Linked DNA regions of Drosophila melanogaster. The protein of the gene in region 4 interacts with the protein of the main gene of each other region in a biochemical or structural test. Each region holds a gene or a part of one and is shown on either strand. Other genes may lie near its edges.

Region 1 (5,356 bases), on a different chromosome or scaffold from region 4:
CCGGAGGATGGGAATACCTATGCGAAAATCGACTTTGACCAATCCGACTCCTCTTCCTCCTCATCGAACATATTTAATACGTAAAGTTTTGAAATTTATGACCCTATCCTATATATATGATTTGTTTAATATTGTACATTTATTGTAAATATTCTGACAAGCAAAGCTTACAATTTTGGATGCTAATAAATAAATTTTATTTAAATTATAATGATCCCTTTGTACTTTTTTTTTGGAATCTAGTAAATCGGGTAATTGCCAATGGTAATTCTTCCATGTAAGTAAATCTAGGATTTAGCTTGATCCAAGTGTACTTCTCTTGTCCGAAAATCCTGTAATTACTTTTAGACCTTTTATTTGATTTAAACCCTTTACTAAAAACTGGATTGATATTAAACGACCTTAGCCTGCCTTTTAATAGCATTCGACTAACTTTCCTTACCAAATCCCCAATAGTTAATGTTAATACTTCTCAGCACCAAAACCCACAAAGTGAACGAGCCTTTTTTTTATAGACCAGTCATTTCAGTTATCTTAAGAGCGCATTTAAAAATTGAATTGCTTTCCATTTATTTAATACAATTTTGATTTCTGAAATAGTTCATCTGTTTTTATTGATTCCACGATTTAGACTCTATTTCAGATACTAGCGTTACACAGGGCATATCCGTTTTATTTGCTAACGTTGCCCTCCTCGTTCGCAGAATTATTCAGATCACTGTTGTTGCAAGTATCGCCAACGGATGCGCCAACGTTTGCGACATAAAGGGCGGGGTCTATGACCTTCGGAATAGGCTTTATTTCGGTTCCAAGTTCTTTTTCAATCCGATGCAGATCAAACCGATCCTCGTAGGTTATCAGATTAATAGCAATACCTTAAAATGAGAAACGAAGATTGTAAATAGGCTAAACTATAATATGAGAATGCAATTAAACTCACCCAAATGACCGAAACGTCCTGAGCGACCAATTCGATGCAAGTATGTCTCTGCCATTCGTGGGAAATCGAAATTGATTACTACATTCACGGCCTGCACGTCGATACCACGGGTGAACAGGTCGGAGCACACCAGATTGCGACAGAGTCCTTGGCGGAAATCGTGGAATACTCGATTTCTGTGTGCCTGGGCCATCTTAGCGTGTATATAGTAACAGCAATATCCAAGCTCTGTGATCTTTTTGGCCAATAGCTCGACACGTTGCGTGGAATTGCAGAATATGATAGACTGATTGATCTGCAGCTTCGAAAAGAGCGTATTCAAGCAGTGTACTTTCTGGCGCTCCTGTACGAATGCATAGTACTGAGTGACACCCTTCAGTGTTAGCTCCTCCATCAGGTTGATCTCGTAAGGCTCGCGTAAATGCTTCTCCATGAAATTCTTGACTGTTAGTGGAAATGTTGCGGAAAATAGCAAGATCTGTGGATCCTTTGGTAACTTTAGTATAACATGATCCAGCATGCCTTGAAAATCAAGCGACAATAGCTTATCGGCCTCATCCAAAACTAATATTCTGCAATGCGACATATCGGCAACTTTCTTATCCATCAGATCTAATATTCGTCCGGGAGTGGCAATAATTAATTGTACTGCAGGCGTAGGGAAAATTTAGAAAGTTGCAATTAAACCGATATTAGGTTATTTAACTATCATCAAAACCCACCTTTTTGATAAATACGAAGAATGTCATCCTTTAGAATGGTACCTCCCGTTGTGACCATTACCCGGATATCAAGATGTTTCGCCAGCTCAATACATATCTGTGAGGTTTGTAGCGCCAACTCTCGGGTGGGGACCATCACAAGTGCCTGAATGTAGTCCTTGGTTGGGTCGATTTGTTCTAAAACTGGGATGCAGTAGGCTCCTGTCTTGCCTGTGCCGTTCTTGGCCCGAGCCAGCACATCTTTTCCACTTAATGCTATAGGAATAGCTGCTTCCTGAATTGGCGAAGGGCGCTCCCATCCCTTCTCGAATATACCCATAAGCAGTTCTCTTTTAAGGCAAAACTCCTCGAATTCATTGCCTCGCGTATCGGTCACATCCTGAGTAAGGCAATGGCAATACATTTATTTGTTAGTTTGTTTGTGCTTTAAATTGTATAAATTCCGATTGATTTGTCGGCAAACTCACAGTTGTTTTGAATCGGTTGTCCTTTGGCGGCAGCTTCAGCTTTGATTTCCAGCCCATATCGTCACTTGTGTTTCCAGCAATTTGAAGATCATTTATAATCCTGGATGAAAAGAAAAAAAATAAAATGGTAATTAAAGTATTACGATATATGTAGGTCATTCACATCCATATATATATGGATGGCATATATAAGCATATATATATATTAAAAATTTTTGATTTTTAAAATTTTGTAAATGAGTTCTTTTATGTAAAGTGCATTTTAAGCTAAAGTCTAAGCCATGTATTAATGTATATTAATAATAATGTTAATATTGATTTTAAATCGTAAACAAAGATGGATAATGTCTTGAATATTTAAGAACTGAACAATCTAAAAGCGATTGAACTCAACATTTTTTCTCTTTCGCACATTTATGGAGGAGAGAAAAAGAAACGCTACTCCAAATTTTAAAATGGCAGCCCACGAATAACTGTTCATGGCGCTGAAATGCAAAAAAAAAATACCTGTTTTGTTCTGATCTCAAAAGTTGAGAATCACCCAATAGAAGTTTTACCTAAATACAGTGTTAGTTTCTAAATGATTTAAGTCAGTGCAATTATATTTAGCAACATTTTTAGCGGTAAATAAGTCCACGAGTGCAACTACATATGTAGATAACTCTTTTATACATATGTACACATGTTCCGCTACTACATACAATAAAGTAATATAAATACGGGAATCACATTGTTTGGTTTTTTTCATTAGATAACATGTTCTGCAGGTTTAGTTGTTGAGTGAAAACAGCCTAACTACATGATGTTGCTAAAATACAGATCTTCGGCTTTTACATGCTCAATCATTTGCAAAAATTGACGTTCTAAACTATAAAACGGCTTGTCTTTTCGGCATCTAATCATAAATATGGGCTGATGAATACGCATGCATATTATGTTTGTTGGGACACCAAGCTTGGGTCCTCTTGTGAAAAAAAAAATATAAATAAATATAAAATATACAAACCCCTTGCTTGTTAAATTAGTGTGCCCAGAATTTAACTTTTCAGTCATCATTATTCACAGTGAAATTTTAGTTTAGTTTGTTTAAAAAATGTATTTCGCTCTCTTTTGCTTTCGGCTGACTAATGAAGTCACTGTATTCACCGATTTTCATATACTGCTCACGTATTCAACTTTGCGTTTCAATATAAAATTTCACTTAGCTTCAAAATAGTCGAGTCGCCTTACAACATGCTATCAATAATACAAATTTCTGATGACTCGGAAAATATTTTCACTCGGTGTAGATAATAAATATGTATTGCCCTGATTTGGAACGTTGGAATGAAACAAATTTTGCAAGTTCAAAATGACGAACAATAATATTGTAGAAATTTATACATGGCTTAACAAAAACAAATGAACGTTTTAAAATTAGTCCACATATTTAGGCAAGAATTATTTTATTTAAAAAAAATCGGCATTTAAATTTTCCTCTTATAAATCCTGTAGGTGTATATGTATACCCAAATATTTCACATTTTTGTTGTGTTAGCTGCTGTTGCCGTTATTTTAAATTTAAATTAATTTAGAAAAGCATTTCCAATGAGCAACTCCACTCCGGCCGGGTTAAAATCACCGTTTAATTATAACAAAAACAATATATGAACTGCATTTCAGATGAAGCAGCTGCCTGTGTGAACGGGACTTAGGAACGACAGGAAGATTTCGAACGTGTATGAAAGAAGAACATCTGAGTTAAGCTTTAATTTGATTGTCTGCGATTTTTATGAATATCTTTTCATTTATAATTTATAAGTATTAAATATTTAATGAAAGATCACATTAGAAACTAACTAATAACATTAAAATGAATAAAAATTATTTTTTTGATTTTTCTTTTCTTAACCAATGGATTTATACTTTATTTATACTTATTCCGATTGGAGAATGACAAAATTAATATATTTGTATTAGAATAAATAAATAGTACTTGCGATAGAGGAGATTTGTATATTATAAAAATGACATTTATGTTTGCGATTTTAGTTTGTGTCATGAAAGAATATATGGAAAAAAGTCAGCTAATAACTAGACTTAAGTTAATTGAAAAGATAAATACTTGCGTATCGTTGACATTTTCCAGGTGATTTATGGTGCGTAGAGTACTTAGACGATTAAAGGATCCATTGCTTACCTCACCCACCTCTGTACATAAGTGTGTATGGATGTGTGTATCTGTGTACCTTATCAATTTCCCCTTAATGAGCTTTGCACAATGTTAACACGAGCAGTCGCATTTGTCTTGCCGTCAGAAGCTAGTGTACAAAGTCATCAATTGAATTGTGTAGATAGATAGATATGTGTTAGAACCACAAAGTACCTACATAAATATGCGGCCATTTGGGTGTATTGATACCATCCGTGAGCACCCCCAGCATGCTAAGTGTTAGGCACTCCATGGGGCATAACTTATTTGTATAGGCTTACGAGAATCCATAAATGTATTGCCTATATACGTCGAGCTATGTCCGTCTGTGTGCGGGCCAAATGTTTACCCATAAACATTCGCATTTGCTCGCGAAGGAATCGCGAAGACTTCAGTTCAGTTCGTTAAATCCGGCAACTGCATGCGGTTCGAAGTGTATATGGTCCGATAACGATTCCTCAATGATAAGATATGAAAAGTCCGTTCTAAGAAAAGATACAAACATTACACAAGCTCGCAAATCGGTCATTGGGTATAATAGACGAGCCGTAAACAATGAACATCGGACTAAGTTTAGTGTGCCTGATTTTAAGTGGCATTTCAAAAGTGCTCGCCGTTCAGTTATGCTGTGCCGCGAATTCGTTACTATTCAAATATCGCCGCACTGTGGACAATGCGGAAATATACCAGTGCGCTTCCGCCGCAAGCAACATCAGTGAACTTCCGGATCTTGCCCAAGTGATAGGCAAATTGATACCACCAATGGGCCTTGGATTAGAAAAGGCTATCAATGACTCAGGCCACAGCCAATTCGCACTATCAAAGTGCCAGAACTTTAGCAGTCTGAGTATAAGTGATTTAGGTGAACGCACCTTGAATTTGCGAAATAACTCATGCATTGGACTATTAAACAGACGTCTCATCGTTTTATCTTGTGAATTCGAAAAGAATGTGCCGTCTCAAAGTGTTGGATTTGTAAACAAGTGCTGCCCACAGGGATTTATTTACGTTTCCGAAAATAATACATGCAAACCGG
Region 2 (5,016 bases), on a different chromosome or scaffold from region 4:
ATATATGCATATGCATATACCTATCTCTATATGGCATATGTTCGCTCATCCAACGGGCAGCTGGGAAGCGGTATCCTTACTAAATAAACAATATGCAAGTCGTTCAAGACCTCGACCCAAGTACTGTTTCAGGGATACTCTCTCAATCTTATTCATTACTCTAGGAGTATTCAAACTATAGGTAATATAATATTTATATTATATTATTTAAAAATTTAGTAGAATCCAAGGATCCCACTAGAAATTCTAAAATAATATTCGACATATATTTTCAGCATGAACATTTATTGCAGCATGCGATTTTAGAGCTCTGTTGTTTATACATTCATGAGAAAATCCATACAATCTTCGGTGCCTACCATCTGTGGTACAGAGCTTATGTGCGTCCTACTTAGTTCCAGTTCTTATATTTTCCGCAAACGCTTCAGAACTTTAATTACGGCTTTCGAACTTTAATAAACGCCAAGATTTGGCCCAGCCACACGAGGAGAATCGCATCAATGGCTGGCTGTACATTAATAGTTCATCCTGGCCGGCACGCATGTCTGGAGCTGGTGAGTCAGTGGCGCGGGTTCAATGTCCTGGCGCGCCTTAAAGAATGCCACCGCGACTCCTTGGCACACGAGCAACAAAAACAAAAGGCGAGCATAATGGGTAAATTGCTCATATTTTGTTATTCTGATTAAAAAAAATGCGCCCGCTCTCATTAACTGCAGAAATTCGCGAGGAAATGTCCTAGTGGCCAGGGCTCCACATGGGCAGCGGCGATGTAGTAAGGGTTGTGGGTGGAGGGGGCTGGGGGTAAAGATGGAGGCAGACCCACAAATGCATTAAGAGCCATAGGACGCATGCCCCCAAACAATAAGCGTGCATTGTGCACTACGAACTGCAGTGGCCATACCCGAGACTACTGGGGGCCCTCATCTCGTGGCGTCTGTATGCACACACATGTACAGTGCGTTTCGAACGAGTAAGGCGGACTTCGTTCGTTCAGTGAAGTGAGTTGCATACTGGTGTATTCTTCCGCGTAATAAAAATCAGAAGTTAATGAGAAACTTGGAATCTCTTTTTTTCCATGTATTATAAGTCATCATCCTTTACCATTTCGCTTATATCACGGTTTCCAGAAATGCCAATCAAGTTGTTTTTGAAGTTACTTAACACAGGTTGATACTGGACCTTTGTTTAAACATTTTACGGAAACAGATTAATCTACTAAGCACACAACATGCAAATATTTAAAAGTAAATTATACCTTCCTAACTTACAGTTAGATATATAACTACGTCTCGTGCTGTCTATGCATATGTAGAGCATTTTGGGATTTTGAGGTCATAGGCTCGAGCAGCCACAGCAGCATCTGCATCGTGGAGTGAGGGGGAGGGGGGGATATGTGTGCTGGGGGCCTTCAGATCCGTCTATCTCGATTGTACTTAACCCGCCTCTCGATTTACTGTCTGCTACCAAATGCGGAGATACGGATTGAGTATCTGAGCCGCCGGAATGAAAATGCGCCTACTGTAGGCTAATTTTGTTTTCCTTTGTCCCCTTTCTAATTTACCTTCTTGCTCTTTAACTTCCTATTTACATTGTTTAATTATTTATGTCACATTCAATAATTGCTTTTACAATTTTTATTGCAAACATTGTGCGATTTCCAACAGCTCTAGGGATTCAAATGTCAATTATTGATGAATTTTTATTGAAATGGCAATTGGGTCAAACAGTGCTTAAGCATTTACCATCAGATATATGTAGGATGATTGATTGCATTGCGTTTTATTTTGGGGAATTATTTTCATTTCAGTCGATGCACTTTGTATAAACACCCAAATTTACTAACTTGATCGATACGATATATCATCTTATAGAGCTTAAAAAAGCTGGGTTCGGAAAAATCGAAGTTTTCAAATTTGGAGCCTTACCATTATATCCTCGGAGATAGCGGTTTTTGCCTTCTTGGACCTGGTCGCAGCGGTGGAGTGAGATCCTTCGGGTGGGAGGGACAGCTCCTGGATGCACATGGATTGCGCAAAGAGTGCGAGCAGGGTGGCGAGAACATATTTGGAAAACATTTCGCCGCTCTCTTTCGCTCGCGCAACGAAAACACTTGGACACGAAACTATTCCTCGATCAGTAGGAACAAAACTGTGTATTTATCTTTATTCTATGTTCGAGGCTTAATTAACCGATGTGGTGGACTAACAATTCGTAGTGCTAAGCTGGGAATTGAACTTTTCACTTTTGTTTTAGTTTCGCTGCTGTTGTTGTTTTTGCTATTGTTGTCGCCTCGGCCGCGGGGGTTGACACAGACACACATGCGCATTGGCGGCACTCACACGAATACCCGGCAGCATAAATACAGCTGCAGCAGCAACAAAAACAACGGAAGGAGCGATGGGTTGTGGCGGGGAGCGGTGGGGATTGGGCGGGGGTATTCCCGTTTTTCCGTTTGGCGCTTCTTGTTCTGGCGTTTTGTGCTTGCCGCTTTGTTGTGGCCACTGCTTCTTTCCTTGGCTTTCCTTTCTCTCTGTGCCTTCCGCCCTTTTGCGCTCTTTTACATATGACGCATACGAATGGTGGGAAAACAAGGAGCTGGGGGCGTTGAGTTGGGTTGGGCTGGATAGAATTTAAATTTGGTGTGTATAGAATGCACACTATAGAATGCCACTTGGCCACAAAAACACAATTAATTAGCACGCAGTGGCTGCACAAAGGAAAGACTTTCCTTGTTCATCCGTTTTTTAGTATATGCCCGATACCAACACCGATTCCCGATTCGCGTTACCCGATTCCTGTCAACCGTTACGTCGCTTTGTTCACCCCACAAAAGAAAACGCTAGAAGTGGGCGGTGCTCTTTTATTCGCGTGTTTTGTGCAAGCATAAATCTCAATTTCTCCTTTTTACATTTATTTGTTTCTGTCGAATTCGAAATAAAAAATCTCGTTATACCGCCGAAAGCGGGTTTACCGCGCGGATGTCTAAATGTGACTGAACTGCTGACTTGCCTCGACGTGAAGCGACTTGAAGAGGCGGGCACAAAGAGCACAAAAATACAGAGTAGCTTCTCTTCATTTGGGCGGATATGCCAGCGATCGCGGTTGATTTATGAAAATACGTAAGAGTAGAAGAAACTCGCTCTTGTCTCACGCTCTTAAGGGGGCACAGAAAGAAAAAGCACGAATTCCAAGAGGCTCTAAAGGATTTTAAAAAATTATTTTAAATTAGGCAGCAAAAAACATTTTTTTTTTCGTAATAATCTTTTTAAATTCTGAGCCTATAACTTTGTTCATCCGTATTTGTATAGTTTTTTATTTAGAGATCTGAAATCCAATGTATTTAAAATTTCCTTTTTACATATGAAAGAATTATATTAAAACTGAAAGTACAAACACCGTGGTCAAAGACATTTATGTATTTTCCACTTTGTTATTATATTTGACTCATAAAAAAGTAATTTAATTAATTTAATTTAATTTAAACTTAAATCGGTAGCAGTATATAAATTATTGCTACATTCATTATAATTTTATACCATATACTCTTATGATTTGATTTTTGGTATTTTATTGTAAAACAATAATAAACAAAATTTTTTTTAAATAGTATAATAGCTTCAAATATTTCAAATTATGTTGGTCTGTGTGACTTTGGGTAGGTTCTTTTCTTAAGTGTATATTAATATTTCTCTCTGCTCTTCGATATTAATATTTTTTGGCTACTTTATACTCTTCGATTTTGGCTACCTAAAAAGTGTCAGTCTAACACGTTTCCGCCAAGTTGGGACATTTGCCTATTGCACAATAAACACAAGGCAGATGGCGTTAAATATTGATTGATCGAGTAGTTCCATGAAAAAGGAAACTAAAATCTAAAAAATAATGAATCGATATGAGTTAGCTACATTTGATTTCTAATATTTATGAATAAGTATGAATACACCCACACCCTCGAAAATAAAAAACCCAGATCAAAAAAAAAAAAGCCCATATATTCTTGGGTACTTGTTATCATATACTGCAGAGTATTATTCACCAAGCCGGTTATATTTTTGAATGAATCAAAATACGAATGTTAGCCGCTGCCGGTTACTCAACGTAGTATTCGAAAGGATGATTATCTTTTTCCATTCACAATCTTTTGGAAATCCCAAATAGTCATTGATAATGCTCTTGCATAAGCAGCCTTGATATATCCAATATCAATGTCCACTTAAACTCAATTTACTGTCACTTAATCATAGCCAATCTAGAACCGCAGTAGATCTAGTCCCTTGATGAGTCGAAATGCTATAAAATCTATAAATGATTGTTTTGAAAATGTATATGTTCTGCGATAAATGCAAGTTTATCATAAATATATAACCCCCACGGGGTAAGAGATAGTAAAATCATATTTTGGTATTATCACATTCAAATGTATTTCATTTCGAAACATGATCGTTTAGTGGCGTGCACCACTGTATGTACACACAGATATCCGAAACAACTTGCCGGCAATTTCTGAACTTAGACTGAGGTCTTGGGTTCAAGTGCTAATTGGCCACGAAATTGAATGCAAAACCGATTTTTGATCTGCGGCTGACCCAAATAAAGTACAAATGACAAAATTACTGATGATACATGGTCGGGCCATCGAAAGGTGAGTAATTTTCGAAGTTGCGACATCAATATATATAAAATCGTCTTATCAGTTCGATGTTGTTACACCTATTACTCAATGGTAGTTTTGATAGAAAAGGCAGACCCATGGTCAGGAGCGAGAAAGCAGTTATCGGAAGCTTCCAGCGGAAGGAAACACAAGATAGTGCGGCTCGGTGTGAGCGTTCCGAGAGGTTAGTAACTCTTCAATGATTCACTGCATCATTGCACTATCTTTCTTGTTTACTGGCTTTCGCTACAACTGCTGATAGCCGTATCTTTATCGTTAGCTTAAGTACTTCCATACCCCTTGAGCTGGTCGGGAGTATCGAAACAGTCGCCGATTTAAGATCAGCGGGTGCAAGTTCGTGACAT
Region 3 (4,675 bases), on a different chromosome or scaffold from region 4:
TGATAAAATTAAAAAAAAAAAAGATTATTTTCTTATAAGTATTTAATTACAGCATGTTTGTATAGTTTAAAAGTCATATGTTTCATTTTGTTTCTTCGTTTTGTCAAGAGTTTTGTTTGTATAACTGTATATATGGAAAGTTAAGACATATTCTTTTTGAAACTTACAATTTCTAACTTGCTGTACTTTCTGTTTTATACGCCGAACTTTTGAATACACAGGGTACTCATACATAATTCGAAGACAAAATAAGAACCACAGTCATCAGATCAGCCAAATAATTCCAATTGATCAGCGATTGGAACAAGGAATTTATTGAAGCAAATCGTTAGACTTGAATTTTTTACAAATGCAACTCTTTTGTAGCGAATTGAATACACTCAGATACGAACAAATCAAAAACCAAAGAATGTTTAATCAAAAACCTATAACCAAAACCAAAGTCAGCATAATGTTGAAACACACGCGTTAAAGATAATTACATTGTTAGCTGTAAGAGTTGAACGCATACAAAGCAAAAACAAAAGCCAAAGACATCATAAGTAGTGTTAAATTCCAGTTCAAAACTATACACGAGACTTTTTCGAAACGGTTGAATTGCAAATGGGAAGTGAACGAAAACAAGAACGATCATGTTAAGTATACGTAAACTATCGATAGTAGTTGAGCACGGCAAGGCAAGGTTGCATTTTGATGACAGTAGCGAAATAGTATTAGCAATTTTTAAGACTAATCAAAACACAAACAGAGACAAAATGGTTTTTTCCAAATCTTTTTACTGCTAGACGAGAGAACAAATTTAGAAGAACTAGAGATAAAGTAGAGGTAGTGTTGAACTAGTCGAGTTGTTAGTAGTTGAGTGCATTATTGGATCGTCAATTACGAGGAGAGCTGGACGATGCAAAGGTTTGTTTGCAGATTTAAACTTTTCATTGGGGAACAAGATCGGTAACGTAGCGTAGAGCAGTTAGGACAAAAAACTTTGCAAATTTATAGTCTAGTCTAAGCCATAACTCTGTGTTTTCTGAGCTTTTTCCAATTGCTGTTGTGAACTACTACCATTAGCGACCCTTCCAGAAATGCATTCTTTTTACGTGTATAACCGTCCTAAATGTTACTACTTTATCAACTTGCTATGTCGATATACGTGTGTAACTGGTTTTAAAAATGTTTGTGTGCATCTAAGAATTGAATGTGTGTTGAAATGTTCCCTAGGACACCACGATTTTACTACATGTATTCGATCTAATTGTGCAAATTTCCCTAAGTTGCAGTTTAAATATTTTCTTTACGAATAAAATATGCTAAAATCCAATTTTAGTGGAACATAACTGAATAGTGTTTTAATTGTATGTGGGTTTACAGGTCATATGCGAACTACGTTCTTTTTTATCAAAATTATATTCAAAAGAGGGAAATCCCCCTTGTACGAAGCGAACTAGTTCCATTCGATGGGCGGCTACTTAAAGCCGGCGAACCAGCTCATCTCTAACTTTCTGAGCGATGTCCCACCACTGGATAAAAGACCATCTGGCAACGCTGGCAGCAGTAGAATTATTTATCTCCACAATTCAGTCACGAAAACAATAAGCAACAAAGGGACTCCCACAGATAAGGGAGCTGTATTTTTATAGCCACACCTCCGAGATGTCAACGGCGGCGCGACCTCCGTCTTTGCGGCTGGGCCAGCAGGACCTCAAGTGCCGTTCAGGATGCGGGTTTTACGGAACCCCCCAAAACGAAGGATTGTGCTCGATGTGCTTCCGAGAAAAGTTTAATGATAAGCAGCGGAAGTTGAAGCGTAAGTTGAAGCGTAGGTCCCCAGACAATGCTTGCATATAACTCCAAAGCCGATGAGCGTTGAGTCATGAAGTGGTTCTTTACAGAGACGGGTGGCGAGACGGGTCCTGGATCCTCTTCCTCGGTCGCCACCTTGGATCGCCGATCGCCACAGCATGCGCACCTCCAGGGAAAAGTGGAGCAGCAGGTCAGGAAGCCGTCGGACAAGGAGCAGGACAACTTGGGAACCCTGCAAAAGAAAAAGTTTACCGCTGTGCTGCAAAAAACTCTGCAGGCGGGAGCCCAAAAAAGTAATATTGCATAGCCACACTGCCTTTAAATGCTTATACTTGGATATTCCTTAGTTACCCAACAGCGTGGTCATGTGCCGGATCCCACGGAGGGCCAGTTCCTACTGCAATTGCGGCAACTTCGCATTCCCGACGATGGCAAGCGGAAACTCAAGCTTGAAATCCAGCGTTTGGACAGCGACATCCGCAAGTATATGAACGGAAATGGCGGCAAAAACATCAACGAACTATCAGATTTGGTTCAAAACGCCTACACCAAAGTCTCAGACATTGTGCACAACGATCCCAGCTTCGAGATAGCCACCAACGAGGATCGCGATAGTGCCATTGACTTCTTTGAGAAAGTGGTGATGACGCAGAACCACAAGTGAGTCAAGCGGAACGTTGATATCAGAGGAGTACATATTTTTATCTGGGAAACTCTTTTTTTTTTTTTGCAGATTTCTCTTCAGTCCCTATTTCACTACCGATGAGGACAGTGACGTGAAGGTGCAGAAGCGGATACGCCAGCTGAGCTGGATTACGGCCAAGCATCTGGACTGCAGCATCGACGAGGTCAACTCGGAGGCCAGGGATCTGGTTTACAATGCTATATCCGAGCTGGTGGGCATAGATTCGTACTATTCGCCGCAGGAGAAGCTGCAGTGCACTTGGCGCTGCTGTAGGCACATCTTTGAGCTTCTGAAGCGGGCAACTGGAGGACCCGCCAGTGCGGATGACTTCCTACCCGCCCTAATATTCGTCGTGCTTAAGGCAAATCCAGTGCGACTGCACAGCAACATCAACTTCGTTACGCGCTTCACAAACGCTTCGCGGCTGATGAGCGGCGAGAGTGGCTACTACTTTACCAATCTGTGCTCCGCCATCGCCTTCATAGAGAATCTGAATGGCGAGAGTCTGGGCGTCAGCAGCGAGGAGTTCGAGGCTCTGATGTCCGGACAGCAGCCCTACAGCACGCCCTGGGAAAGTGCCCTGTTGGCCTGCGAGAGCCTTCACCTGATATCCGAGAACATGAAGCGAATGGAGATGCTGCAGAAAAGGAACGCCCTGATAAGCTCTGGAATAACTTCATTTGAAAAAGAGCTTATCGATTTCCAAAGAGAGGTGACGGAACGAGTAGACACCGTGATTGCCAAGGCCCCACTCAACCTGCTGCCCATCAAAACACCCGCTTTTCTGATTGGTCAAGCCAGGGCGCACCTTCTCAACGAAAGCGAGGCTGGTCATTATCAAGCGAATATGCTGCACGGCGGCTCATTGACCTCCCAGTCGCTGACAGCAGCCGGTGGGTTGGTAAAGCCCGCAGCGGCGTCTAAAGAATCTGGATTGTCCCTTAAGGATACCAGCATGAGTTCGATGGGCCGTCTGTCGCCACTTCAGCAGAACGTTCAGCCAGCCGATCACCTCTTCGCCTCTCCAATCTTTAACTACACCGCGTTTGATGCCGTCTCGCTCTTGGAGGAGCCTGTGCCCGATGCGAACACAGACGTACTCATGCTGGGCTCCGAGTTTCAAGGAGGCCTGACCAATATCAACTACGACTTCGACTTGTCGGATCAAAGTGGGGAAAACAGCACTGCGGACGAGTCAAAGCTGAATCTCGACGAATTCGACCCCTTGGCGCAGAAGGGCCTAGTTGCCAAGCCACCGCCGCCTCTGCCGGAGACCAGTCTGCTGGATAGCACAACGGATAGCCTTATAGATAGCGAAGTGCCCGGCACAGCTGTCCTGCTTCCATCCCCTCTGAAGCCCGAGGTGTCCAACTACCGGGGCTTCTCAAACTTCGATATTCCCAGCATCTCGTGCAACACGGGAGACTTTAGTTCTCTGGGACAGGACGGCGCGGATGCTCCCAAATAAACGTTTGTTCACTGGGTCACTGAATCCTGCAGCTGTGTGAATGTAAATAAGTTTAAGTGAAATATTGTAGTTAGCCCAACGCTTCAATTCAAATTTCTGCACATATTTATTTGTACCATATTTAACTAGCTTTACAGAAAGGACGTTTAATAAATGCAATCTAACACATACACAAGTTGTATTGTTTTTTACAATAAACGGTTAACTAAGTTTAATTTCTTTCCCAGGGGTAATTGCATGATTTTCAAAAGTCCCGCCAACTGGGCATCACTTATCCAATAATCTGGCAGCACTAGAAAAGTAACAAGAGAGATTGTTGTTTTCGAAATATCTCAATCACACACGATTTATTCTCAGTTTGCCTGCCGAACCGAACGGACGTGAGCGCTCACGAGAAATGGCTAGAACCCGAATTCAGATGCTGCTACTTGTTGTTGCGCTGACGGCGGTGATAAGTGGAGCAAGTGCCTCCAGCATACCGGAAGAGCTGCCCCACAATCCGCTCGAGCACGACCCCCTGCACCCCAGGCACTTCGACGGGGGCGAGCACAATGCCCAGTTTGACCACGAAGCCTTCTTGGGCCCGGACGAGTCCAAGAAGTTCGACAGCCTGACACCCGAGGAGAGCAGGCGGAGATTGGGCGTCATTGTGGACCGAATCGACGAGAACAAGGACGGGTCAGTCACATTGGCGGAGCTAAAGAACTGGATCGCCTACACCCAGA
Region 4 (3,475 bases):
TAAGTCCACATATAACAATTACCAGAACAATATGGAATAATTATTTATTTTAGTAAATAATTACTATAGTCAATAATTGTTAGTTGTGCAAACTGCACTTTACACTTTGTGTTTAACTTTCACTATACTGTTGTAGTTTTTAGAACTTGCTATTCGTAGCTTGAAAGAAACACGTCTCCACCCGAAGACTGTGGAATGCCGAACGCGCGCTTTAATGCTATCTAAAATTGACTACGGACTGCCAATCTTCGGTTGGTGTGCTAAATCACACTTAAAAAAGCTACAAGTCCCATATCACGGAGCGGTCCGTCGCGCCATTCACGCATTTCCCACATCTCCAGTAGCGTGCACATTGGCAGAATCGGGTCTCCCGAGTATCCAATCACGCGTAGAAGAAACTACATTGATGCTTATCCCGAAGCTGTACACCACGTCAAACTGCCTGCTAACCAAAGACTTCGGAGCCATATTTAAACAAAAACGGAAATTCAAGTGCATATCCACCCTAAGACGTTGCGCCAACTACATCAAGCTACTTGACCTTCCCCTGCCTAAGCCCAGGAGGCCCTTCAAATCGCCAGCACTTTGGGGTTCCAAACAGCCTAACATAAACCTTCAAATATACAATGCTGCCAAAAAGGATACAGGTCGCCTAGAATACCAAAAACGTTTTATGAGCGCACAAGAAGATCTTGGTGTGAAAAACTGGATCTACACCGATGGTTCTAAAGTCACCGGCGCAACTACTTTTGCGGTTGTTGACTCTAACCGTAAAATAATTGCAGGAGGTAGGCTTCCGTCCTACAACTCCATATTTACAGCCGAAGCTTTCGCCATTCTCAAAGCATGCCAATTCGCTTCCAAAAACGCTGGAAAATCTGTTATCTGCACAGACAGCCTCTCCTCTCTTTCCGCTATACGCAACTGGAACCATAATGACCCCACAACACAAGAAGTTAGGCACATTCTAAGTTCTCACCCAAAAAAAATCACCTTACTCTGGGTTCCCAGTCATCAAGGTATTCATGGGAATGAACTTGCTGACAAAGCCGCCCAAGAGATGAGGCTTACACCATCAATCCTGTTCACTCCGTTTAACTCCAAGGACCTAAAAAGTCGAATCAAGTTATACCTCAAAGAAAAGAAACTCTCCGAATGGGCACTCTTCATGCACAGGTACCAGTCTATCAATCCGAATTGCATCATGTTCAAGCCACCAACGAACGTACATAAACGGGAATGCGCGACCTTTATCCGTCTACGCATCGGGCACACCCAATCCACACATCAACACTTACTGATGAGATCGGCGCGACCAACATGCCAACTATGCGGGGACGAGCTCACCGTTGACCATATTCTCAACGCCTGCAGTCAATTGCACTCAATTAGATCTCACTTATTTGGTACACATAGTCTCTCGAATTGTTTAAGTATCCCATCCTGTGAAAATATCTCAAAAATTTACAAATTTGTCCAAAAAGCTAAGTTTATTATATAAAGCAATTAACCCATAAGTCTCGAGTCGAAGGCCCCCGTAGCTAGTACTCATTAAATTTAATTAGGTTTAGTATTGTATACTATATTTAATTTTGTTAAATAAAATAAATAAAAATTTAGGATAGTCATACTTTTCACATGGATGGACTTTTTGAATGGGGTTAGTTCACGATGCGTTAGTTTGATTAATTAACCAGACTCTAATAACTTACTTTCATTGAGCACTGTTGCTGCTGGCCAGATGAGCAATTTTCATATGGGGTTTCCGAAGTTCCGAGTTTTCGGCTTTTTCCGATGGAACTGTGCATCTCTTGTTTCGAAGCAATCGATAGATGGCGCGCTTGCGCTTTTGCTGGCTAACTGTACATCAAGGCGGGATCGCGGATTACGCTTTCGGAACTCTGCGCACTCGAGATGGAACTGGGTGACTCTAAGCTGCGTGCGGTAAGGGTGCTGGGCCAGGGCACCTTTGGCCGGGTCTTCCTCTGCCACCAAAACGAGGTGCGCGGACAGCCGGAGAGGAAGGTGTGCGTGAAGCGGATCATCGTCCGGAATCCGAAGACAGAGTTGGGATTGATCAAGGAGGAGGTGTACATCATCTCGCAGCTGCGCCACCCGCACATCGTTGAGTTCCTGCGCTCCTTTAGCCACGCGGGCACTGTGAACATCGTGATGGAGTACGTGCCCAACGGCACCTTGAGGGATGTCATCCAGCAGCTGCCGTCAGGCACCGGGGGAGTCAATCAGGAGCGGCTGATGGGCTACTTCCGCGACATGGTAGTGGGACTCGAGTACCTGCACATCCGCTGCGTCATCCACCGAGACATCAAGCCCGAGAACATGCTCCTCGACGCCAACGACCGCGTCAAGATCGCCGACTTTGGGATCGCGAACGTTCATGCGCCCAGCACTCAACTGCAGGCGGGCATGGGCACGCCCATGTACATGGCCCCGGAGGCGATGTCCAGCCAGGGCAAGGTGGATTTCAAGTCGGACGTGTGGTCACTGGGGCTAGTCCTCTACGAGCTGTGCCTCGGACGCAGCCCCTTCGCCGCGTTTCTCGACAAGAACGCCACCCCTGCCCTACTGCACACCGTAGTCCAGGCGCTGGTCCGCCCCCGGCTCGACTGCCAGCTCATCCGGCGTCTCTACGATCCCGTGTGGGCGCAAGTTTGCGAGCTGATGGTCGTTTACGAGCAGGAGCGCCGCATCTGCCTACCAGACATCTTCCACCTCGACGCCGGCATGACTGTGACCCTCTACAAGCATTACTTCAGCTACAGCTACTAACGGAAGCCAATGGTCAGCTCACCAGCACGAGGAGACCTCAACAAATATTTCATTGTACTTAAGAACTAGGCTAGCTTAAGCGATAAATTAAGGTGTGTGCTGTGCTTTGTGTGCGCCTGTGCTTTTGCCAGGGGATCTGTCAGCTATAAACAGTATATAATGTATATTCCAAAACAGTCTCGCTCAATGTCATTAACGTAGTCTTTAATTTACATTTGTTCACCTATTGTACAGTAACATTAATCCTCTAAAGCTTCTGGCCCTGCTGCTGCAGCTGGATCTTACGCTTCAGACTCTTTACCAGGGCGTTCTGCTCCAGCTGCTGCTTACTCCTCTTGGGGGCTACCTGCTCATCCCCATCCGCATCGCCGTTTGCAGCGCCGCCCTCCCCCTGCTCCTTTCTGCGCTTTAACTTCTCGCCGATGATCTGCTGCATGCCCTTGGTGGGCTTGTAATGGGAGTGGGTGGGATCGATGTTGTACTCGTGCGACTTGTAAACGGCACTGAAGCGATTATCATTCAGGTTTACCTGGAAGTCGTCGTCCAGCTTCTCCGCATTCTGCGGCTGATTTTTCGATTTCTTTAACTTCTGACGACGCTTTCGCTTTGAACCGCTCGCTTCTTGCTCCTCCTTCTTGAGGATTTTGGTCAGACTGAAGTGTTGCTTCTCGTCGCGCCCGTCGCC

The links.
Region 1: of the proteins of png (region 4) and me31B, one has a biochemical effect on the other in vitro, tested with the Drosophila melanogaster proteins (one study listed by BioGRID).
Region 2: of the proteins of png (region 4) and Mmp2, one has a biochemical effect on the other in vitro, tested with the Drosophila melanogaster proteins (one study listed by BioGRID).
Region 3: of the proteins of png (region 4) and Rabex-5, one has a biochemical effect on the other in vitro, tested with the Drosophila melanogaster proteins (one study listed by BioGRID).

What each region holds. Positions count from the first base shown.
Region 1 is NT_033779.5:10,237,365-10,242,720, reverse strand, and holds me31B (maternal expression at 31B), read right to left. Parts: upstream 3,381-5,356; 5' UTR 3,186-3,380; coding exon 3,136-3,185; intron 2,783-3,135; exon of another isoform or gene 2,637-2,782; intron 2,230-2,636; coding exon 2,130-2,229; intron 2,042-2,129; coding exon 1,663-2,041; intron 1,589-1,662; coding exon 941-1,588; intron 876-940; coding exon 673-875; 3' UTR 549-672; downstream 1-548. Other genes in the region: chico, read left to right, coding at 1-84; mthl15 (methuselah-like 15), read left to right, coding at 4,876-5,356. UniProt on the Drosophila melanogaster protein: ATP-dependent RNA helicase which is a core component of a variety of ribonucleoprotein complexes (RNPs) that play critical roles in translational repression and mRNA decapping during embryogenesis, oogenesis, neurogenesis and neurotransmission.
Region 2 is NT_033778.4:9,680,858-9,685,873, forward strand, and holds the start of Mmp2 (matrix metalloproteinase 2), read right to left. Parts: upstream 3,002-5,016; 5' UTR 2,076-3,001; coding exon 1,926-2,075; intron 1-1,925. UniProt on the Drosophila melanogaster protein: Has metalloproteinase activity. Proteolytically cleaves the PGRP-LC receptor; involved in gut-fat body innate immunological communication (GFIC)-mediated activation of the imd/Relish signal transduction pathway.
Region 3 is NT_037436.4:1,294,379-1,299,053, forward strand, and holds Rabex-5 (Rabaptin-5-associated exchange factor for Rab5), read left to right. Parts: upstream 1-1,534; 5' UTR 1,535-1,647; coding exon 1,648-1,801; intron 1,802-1,886; coding exon 1,887-2,090; intron 2,091-2,144; coding exon 2,145-2,457; intron 2,458-2,530; coding exon 2,531-3,950; 3' UTR 3,951-4,119; downstream 4,120-4,675. Other genes in the region: scf (supercoiling factor), read left to right, coding at 4,348-4,675.
Region 4 is NC_004354.4:1,355,973-1,359,447, reverse strand, and holds png (pan gu), read left to right. Parts: upstream 1-1,846; 5' UTR 1,847-1,914; coding exon 1,915-2,790; 3' UTR 2,791-2,960; downstream 2,961-3,475. Other genes in the region: CG11417 (uncharacterized protein), read right to left, coding at 3,038-3,475.